Macaca fascicularis: one gene and its partner. The protein of the gene in region 2 purifies or fractionates together with the protein of the main gene of each other region. This does not show direct contact. Links are inferred from orthologs where the notes say so. Each region holds a gene or a part of one and is shown on either strand. Other genes may lie near its edges. The genes, in order: MLF2 and DNAJB6.

Region 1 (4,406 bases), on a different chromosome or scaffold from region 2:
CAGTGGAAGATGAGAAGGTCTGGCAATTGCCTCCAGCTGTCATGTGTTCCTGAGGACAGGGTGGGTAGGAGAGGGCTGAATGGGGAGGCATCCCCCCTGGTGAAGAGATTTCACCCTTCAGCTGCCTGTTCTAGCCTGTATCTTTCTCACAAAATGCAAGAACTGAAAAAGCATCAGGCCTCATCATTACCCTCCCAAATTCCTCCGAGTCCAACCACGAGCAAGAAGGATCTGAAGAGACAGAGCCTTAATTGTATGCTACGTAAGAGTGCTGCTGCTGGCTGCTTCAGGCAGGCATGACAGCAGATACAGGGTCCCAAGGCTCTCTGGTTCAATTACGGTATCCAGTACTTTACCCTTCACTAGCATACTGTCTCCCTCTTGCCTTAGAGGATTCAAGGTGTTGTCAGCCATCACTGAGAGCAAGGCCGGGGAAGGGTATGGGGCAAGTCTCACCATGTTTCCAATCATGTCATTCATCATCCCAAACATGTCCATGAAACCACCCGACTGGAGGAGAGATGGAAAACAGAGTCAGGAAAGCAAAGTCAGTGTTCAGAGTTGATCCTGTTTAGGAACCCACAACCCACGTGGCTGCACACTTCCTTTCTCTTCTTCACATCTAGCAAGTTCTCTTTCTCATTCTCTATTAACGTAACCAGAATACTCATGTTTCTCTTCCTGTAAACTGCTGACCCCTTCCTCAATCTCTATGACTGCTCTGATCCAATTTTCCTTCTCCTGCCTGCTATATTCCCCCCATCTTTAGGAAGCAAGCCAAAGTTAATGGATCCTAAACTCTAAAGAGATAAGGCATGAAATTGTTAAAACCTACCAAAAAATCATCTCTAGTTGGCCCTTTAACTGCGCCTCCCCCCTCCAAAGAACAAATTTTGCTAGACAATTACATCTTCCTAATGAGCATGGACTTCTAGGAGTACAAGAGTTAATAACGTCTTTTCTTCTTTTTTTGAGGTGGAGTCTGGCTCTGTTGCCCAGGCTGGAGTGCACTGGTGCAGTCTCAGCTCACTGCAACCTCTACTTCCTAGGTTCAAGAGTAGGTGGGACTACAGGTGTGTGCCACCATGCCTGGCTTTTTTGGTATTTTTAGTAGAGAAGGGGTTTCACCATGATGGCCAGTCTGGTCTCAAAACTCCTGACCACAAGTGATGATCCATCTCGGCCTCCCAACGAGAGTTAATAACACCTTTAACCCACAGGGCTCCTAGTAGCCAGCAGGCTCAGAGCTTTGTGAATGCCATAAAAAGAGAAGATTCTGGGGTTACCCATGAAACTATTCCTAAAAGGCACACTTGGGAATAATACCTAAGGGTAGAGAGTGTGTCTGAGATGGCAGGACACGGGGAGATGAAGACTCACCATTCCCAGCATCCCAAAGGGGGAGACAGCTCCAGCCTACAGGAACACATGAGGAACAGAAATTACAGACCACATCCTATCTCTATACAATCCCAAACGAGGCCCATGGCCTCAATTTTTTTTTTCCATCCTCTCAAAAGGGAGTCACAAAGCCCTTTTTCCTGACCCTTTCCCCCATTCCTAGAGCACTTCACTTGCTCAGTTGGCTGTAGTGCAAGAAAACTAAAGTGCTTTCCTAACCAACCTCCAACCTTTCTTTGGGTCTCAGGTGTGTCGTAGTACCATTACCTGCTGCATCCTGCGGCTGGCAGGCCTGGTCCCTGGCATGTTGCCATCTGTGATGCTGAGGAAGGGGCTATATCCAAAGCCACCTGACAACATACGGCTCATATGCTGACGGTGAATAGCAAATGGATCCCTGTGGAGTGAGCACATAGTATGGATGGCAGAAGCGCCAAACTGTTAATCCCTCCACCACCCTGCAAAAAATACGCACAGAGCAACAGTGGCACCGATGCCTACTTCCTGCTAGGTAGAAGCTGGGTATCCAGCCAGTTCCAACCATTCCCAGCAATGGAAACCCCGACGTCTGCTTGAACTGCTGAGAGACCTGGAGTGGGAAGCTTGAGGGGGAGGGAATACTCACATCAGGAACATGGGATCCTCAGGCTCCACATCCCTCATGAAGCGGAACATCCTGATCTCAGCTCCAGGGGGCTCCACACTGGAAACATGTGGAAGCTCAGATACTTGGAGGTGGCCAGGGTTTTGCACACCCACTCAGTGTAGGGACTCTTAGAGCACTGTCCTTTCCAAACGCTGTAACTGACCCCCTAAACTCCAGGGAGACCCTACTCCAGTGTTCCGCACAACCCTCTAAGGAGGTAAGGGCTCTTCAAACCTCTCTCTCAATTAGGGCCACGGAAAAATTTTCCAAGCCTCTCGGTTTTTCCCTCCCCCACTCAGAGCCATCCTCTTCCCAAAGCTCTGGCCGGTAGCATACTCTCCCCTCCTCCCTCGCCGCCACCGTTCTAGACGAAAATCCCAAGTGCCGGTCCTCCGCCCCATTAATGACCCCAGCCACCCCGCCCCCTCCTTACACCAGGCCTCCCCCAGGCGGGCCTCACTAAGACCCCCGCGCCTGTCTGCGGCTCCTCCAGCTCCCGCCTCCCCGCCGGGTGAGCCGAAGAGGTAGGCCTGAGCCTCTCGTCTCCCCAGCCCGCATCCCGGGCTCCCAGACCCTGCAGCCCCGCGGGCCCGCTCCCGTTCAGCGCTGCCCGCTCTGCCTGAGCCTCACCAGTGCCCGATTCGGGCTCAGCGGCCCATCCGGCCGGTTTCGCTTCCCGGTGCGCTGCAGGGTCAGGGTCGCGGCCCAGAACGCGGGGATTGGTCCGGGCTCGAGCTCCTCGGCCTTCCACGCCGCCTCCTCCCACCGCTGCCACCTCCGTAACCCCCCTTCGGCCCACGGAGCCCGAACCTAGGCCAGGCCCGGGCGGAAGTGACGTCACGATGGAACCGCCCACCCGGGGCCGGGCCGTGGGAGCCCCGCCCACTGGCGTGGGTGGTGAGAAGGCTGGGGCCGAGTCCCAGGGGCGGCGGGGCCATGGGCCAAGCTCAGGCGAGCGGAACCTGAGGTCGAGAGGGTTCACCTGGCCACGAGGAAGGGGAACTCATTAGTAACCTGGATTTGGGTTCTGTGGACTGGAAGAGGCTCCCATGAGGCTGGGGAGGAGAAGGAGAAGAGGAATCCATTCTTCGGGAGGGACCGAGTTGGGGGTTGAACTTGGCGCTGTGCAGCACGTTCCCTCTCCCTCCTCCGGGGGAAACTGGAGGACTAGGGGCAGATGCCCCTCGGGGAGAGGCGGGCTCTCTGTGGGCGACGAGGCGGGGCGGATCCCTTGGGGGAGCTTTAAGCAGACTCTAGTGGAAAAGCAGTCTATCCTGGAGGGAGGATGGGCAGTTTTCTTGCCGGGGAGTCGCTTGGGCCTGTCCCCGCTTGAGGAGGAGCGTTCCTGGCAGGGCGGAGTCCCCGGAGTGACGCAGAGGAGGAGGTGACACTCTCCAGCCCAGATCTAGTTCGGGCTTCGGAAAGTCGGATGGGGCAGAGAATCCAGGTTGGGGAGTTGGCCGCCAGATGGCGCTCCTCGGCCAGGCTGGAACCCGAGGCCCTTGAGAACTGGCATTGGAGAGGGACCTGGAGCCCTCCCCCATTACCCAACTGTGAAGGGTTGGACTGGGGAAAGGCTACAGTTCTGAAATCTATTAGTTTAATGCCACTCTCCCTTTCCTTTTACTCTAATTCTTGCGTCCTCAAGAGCTCCCAGTCCTGCACTGACCTTTCTTGCTTGCTTTCTTAGGTCAAAGGTCTAAAGTTTGGGGGAAGAAAGGAGTGGAGAGCTCAGTTAACCTGGATCACCCAGGGGAGGAGCTAAAACGGGGCCCAGGAGACCTGCCTCCAAGGCCAGAGACTGATCCTTTGACATACTAAATGTCTTGCATAAAATCTGGCTCTGCTGGAGAGAAGGGCCCTCCCCTTTGGGGTCAGGGCATTTGGACTGTCTAGGATGGACTTTAACCAGACTCATCCAAACTCCAGCTTTCCCTGGTTCTTTACTCTGGCTTTTAGCCATATTAGTGCTGTGTGGAGTCTGACCCAATGAGAAAGACTTGTTCCCGATAATTCCCTGGGGGAGAAAGAGGGGGTTCCTGGTAACTCAGGAAAAGGTGCTAGGAACAGGGCTTCTCAGGTTTCTTTGGACTTGATCATTATTAAAGAGGAAAAAACAATAATAGAGACAGGGAGCAGAGACAGATAGTTAAGATACAAGCTGGCAGACTGGCAAGTCAGAGGAAAACAGAGACAGAATAAAAGTAAATTTGTTTTTCATTGCTGTTTCTGGGGAAGATACTTAGTAAAATCTTTTATCTTCCAGATGCTCTATCTCTGCACATTCCACCATGCAACTTCCCCTTATCCTCTTGCCCCAAATGAAAGCAGTTTGACATGTGATCAAGAGTTGTCCCAG
Region 2 (3,800 bases):
CCCACATGCACAGCACGTCCTCAGGGCGACCCAGAACTTCTCCGGGGCACTCACTTCAGAGACTCTCCAGCTCCCTAAGGGGTGGGCGGCGGGCAGGGCGGCCAAGAGCCCCACGGCGGGTGACGGGCAGACTACGCTTCACGAGGACGTCTGACTTGAGGGGTCTTTTGTTCTGCACCCAGCGCAGAAGAAGGCACGAGAAGGTGAAGCTGACGGAGGGGCAGGAGCAGATGCAGAACCCCCAGCACCAGACCACCTGGCCTAAGCCACAGGCCTCAAGCTCTACGCTGAAAGCTACGGAAAGGCAAGTCTACGGTAAAAGCAGCACCTCGCACTGCTGCGGCAGCTCTGTCATCCTTTGGGGAGCAACACACGGTGTAAAGGACACGGGGACCCCGTTTTAACGGTGGGGGGCCGGAGCCACCGTGGCGTGGGGGCTGCGGGCGGGAGGGGAACAGAGCGAAGCCACCTCCTCCCGCCCCGCCCTCCCCCGCCCGCTCAGGTCAGAACACAGCAGCACAGGCGCGGTTTGTGTCCTCGCTGTCCTCTGGCACCCACGGGAGTCTCCCTCTGGGCCTGCTCCTCGGCTGCCTCCCTTTGCACACCTGCTGCGGACGCGAGGGGGTCCCAGGGCCCGGGTGCCCGAGGTCGGTCCTGCTCGCCCTCCTCCTCATAGGGAGAGTGAGGCGCATGTCTGAGCAGTGAGGCGGGCCGGGGCGGCTTCGGCGGGCGGAAGCTGGCAGGCTGGGCTGGCAGGGCGTTCTGGCCTCTCCGCATGCGTTCCTCAGCGAGGGCATCCTCGTCGGCCACACCTGCAAGCACAGTGGGAGAGAGACGGCCGTGAGTGAGCGGCAGCCGGCCCCTCCAGGGCAAGGTCTCCCTGACAGACGCGTCATCTCTGGGGAGGAGAAAGAGGTTATCGCCTTCTTCGGTGGCACCGCTGGGGCCAGAACTTAACGCTCCGAGTGGTAAGAGAGTCATCTGAAAATCACCCCTCTCCCTCCTGAAGAAGCGGCTCCCCGCCCCACCAGCTTTGGCACAACCAACACGCCCCTTCCAAGAGCGAGAGTGCCCCCCTGAAATCACAGCCCAGGGCTGACAAATTCCCTGTCAGAATCAGCCAGCTGGGCCACCCTGGGGAAGAAAGGCTCCGGGTCCAGCTGGCGATTTCATCCTCCGAGTCCACACACAGAAGACGCCCCCTCTCCGCCTCGTGCTGGAATAAATCTGTGGCCGCGGCAGCGGTGCCCACGGGAGCCACAGCTCCGCCCAAGGCAGGGCCACGCCAGTGCAGCGCCAGCTCTGGCCCCGCACAACACACACACCCCCCCAAGACAGGCCGGCTCCTCAATGCTCTGAAGAGTTGTGCTTTTATTAATCTTTTGAAATACAGAAAAAGTCATTGGAAGGCCGTGCATTAAAAAAAAGAAATATAGGCCAGGCGCGGGGACTCACGCCTGTCATCCCAGCACTTTGGGAGGCCGAGGCGGGCAGATCATGAGGTCAGGAGTTCAAGACCATCCTGGCTAACACGGTGAAACCCCGTCTCTACTAAAAATACAAAAAATTAGCCGGGCGAGGTGGCGGGCGCCTGTAGTCCCAGCTACTCGGGAGGCTGAGGCAGGAGAATGGTGAGAACCTGGGAGGTGGAGCTTGCAGTGAGCCAAGATCGCGCCACTGCACTCCAGCCTGGGGGACACAGTGAGACTCCATCTCAAAAAAAAAAAATACAGAAAAAATGTTTTGAACACTGATGGATACGAGGAATAAAAATAAGAAAACAATATTCGCAGAATGATCTCCACTGTGATTCTCTGAAGGTGTGAGTGACAGTCGCTGTGTGGATGTGAGGGAGGCAGCGGCAGCTCCAGGAGCAAAGCGTGTGAGGCTGTAGCTGGTGGATTCCTCGTCCCTCTGCAAACTCTAAAATGTGTCTAAAACGTGTCGCACCCAGCACTTCGGGCCCCGAGCCCTGCGCAGATGTAAAGCGAGGCAGACCCCTCCCGTGGCACAGCACGGAGTTTATGCCAGAGGCGGCCCGTCCTCCTCACTTCCCCGCCGGCACTAAGGAGCACTCAGCCACTGAAACGCGCCTGAAACGCAACGGACTGAGATCGACGGACATTCAGGGGCTTCTCCAATTAAACTGGCCCGTACGCCACTTCCATGCTGAGTGCCAGGCCCGGGGCCCGCCCCAGGAGCTCAAATGTGATCACCCACAACGGACACAACTGGCTCTGAGGTCAGGAAGGAACCTGCTCTCAGGCTGTCCCCTCAGGCCAGGCTCTGGTCCTTGGAGACCACGATGGTGATGCTCACCTAAGGAAGACCCTCACACGAGTGCAGAATTCATCTCCAAGACCTGGGCAACTCGCAACCTGGGGCCTGCGTGTCCCCAGAGGGGAGGGCAAGCTTCACAAAACCCTAAAGCTGCAGCACGGCGCCCACAGGGCTCGGTCGTTTCTGGAACTCAGCAAACCCAAGAGGAGGCGCAGGCCTCAGATGTCACCTTCTACCCCCATCCTATTTCCCCACACTGTGAACACAGAATGTAATTTTGGGGACCATTTAACCATGCACCGTAAATGCAGGCTGTGAGGCTTCACCTATGGCACCCATTGTCAACACCGGCCTGCACGTCCTTCACCTATGACACCCATTGTCAACACCGGCCCGCACGTCCTGCCAGGGGACCCCAGGGCCCCTGCTGAGATGGCTACACCAGGAGAACACACGCATGTCTCGGCATCACGCAGAACTGCTGAGCTGAGAGGGGTCACCTAGCCCGGGGCCAGTTCTCCCCTTGGGAACTCCGTGTGCTCACGGGCAGAATGAACAGGTGGCAGGGCTGCTGTCTGCGATTCTATGATGTGAGTGAAGGAAAACAGCCCCCAGCACACAGGCCATGCGTGCGGGTGTCATGCACACACAGCACTTCCTGAACGTGCCCGCGGCAGGAGGAAACATGCCAGGGTCCCCTGACCAGGCCCCAGTTGCAGGCTGGGAGCGAGGAGGGCTCTGGGACAAGGACACCCAGGATGCAGCTTCTCAGCAAACCAAGCTGTTTCCCAGCTGCCTGGACCCTGGCAGGAGAGCGGGACACATGGAGACAGTGCTGCGAACTTGCTGTTGTGTGGCAACATGGCTTCCAGATCTGACACGGAAACTCAAAGGGGCAGGCTGCCCCGGTGACACCTGTGGACCCTGGACCGTCCCAGCCCCTTGGACACCAAGGAGAGACTCAGCACAGCTGCTCCCAGGGCACCACGTCCCACCTTGGAGGGAGAGAGGAGAGACGAGGGGACCCACACACACAGCAGCAAAGGGCCAACCGGAACCTGCCGGTGCCAAGCCCGTTCCCGCCTCCAGGAGGATTACACCCAATACTCCGCCATGACTTTGAAGATTATACTTTGCCAACTAATGTAGAACATTTGAGAAAAAAATTTAAAGTTTCTGGTGTGTGACACACTGAACTGGACCCTAAATATCCATAGCTGTGAAGTCTTCCCCGGCACAGTGATGCAGCAAGAGCTCTGTGACTGCCACCAGAAGAGCCACCCACTGCCTGGCCCAGCCACACACCCCAGTGCCCGGGAGCTTCAGAGCCAAGCGGGAGCCGCTCACCCGCCCCACTCCGTGGGGAGGGAAAAGGGGGGCAGGGTAACCCCACACATCCTGGCTCATCCTGGCTCTGGGACACCCAGTCTCGCTGCCACTTGAAATTACGCACTTCCAGCTCAGCTGCAGTTGGGAACCCCCGCCTCCCACTGTCCCCAGCACCCCTGGTCCGCAGGTGA

The links.
Region 1: the proteins of DNAJB6 (region 2) and MLF2 purify together in Homo sapiens (affinity purification with mass spectrometry; 3 studies listed by BioGRID and IntAct, with this or other methods). This does not show direct contact. The link is inferred for Macaca fascicularis from reciprocal best matches to the Homo sapiens genes DNAJB6 and MLF2.

The regions. Positions count from the first base shown.
Region 1 is NC_088385.1:7,678,747-7,683,152, forward strand, and holds the start of MLF2 (myeloid leukemia factor 2), read right to left. Parts: upstream 2,835-4,406; 5' UTR 2,678-2,834; intron 2,105-2,677; 5' UTR 2,077-2,104; coding exon 2,027-2,076; intron 2,004-2,026; exon of another isoform or gene 1,816-2,003; coding exon of another isoform or gene 1,799-1,815; coding exon 1,669-1,798; intron 1,417-1,668; coding exon 1,381-1,416; intron 511-1,380; coding exon 457-510; intron 50-456; coding exon 1-49.
Region 2 is NC_088377.1:198,714,193-198,717,992, reverse strand, and holds part of DNAJB6 (dnaJ homolog subfamily B member 6), read right to left. Parts: intron 813-3,800; coding exon 606-812; exon of another isoform or gene 55-605; intron 1-54. UniProt on the Homo sapiens protein: Has a stimulatory effect on the ATPase activity of HSP70 in a dose-dependent and time-dependent manner and hence acts as a co-chaperone of HSP70. Plays an indispensable role in the organization of KRT8/KRT18 filaments.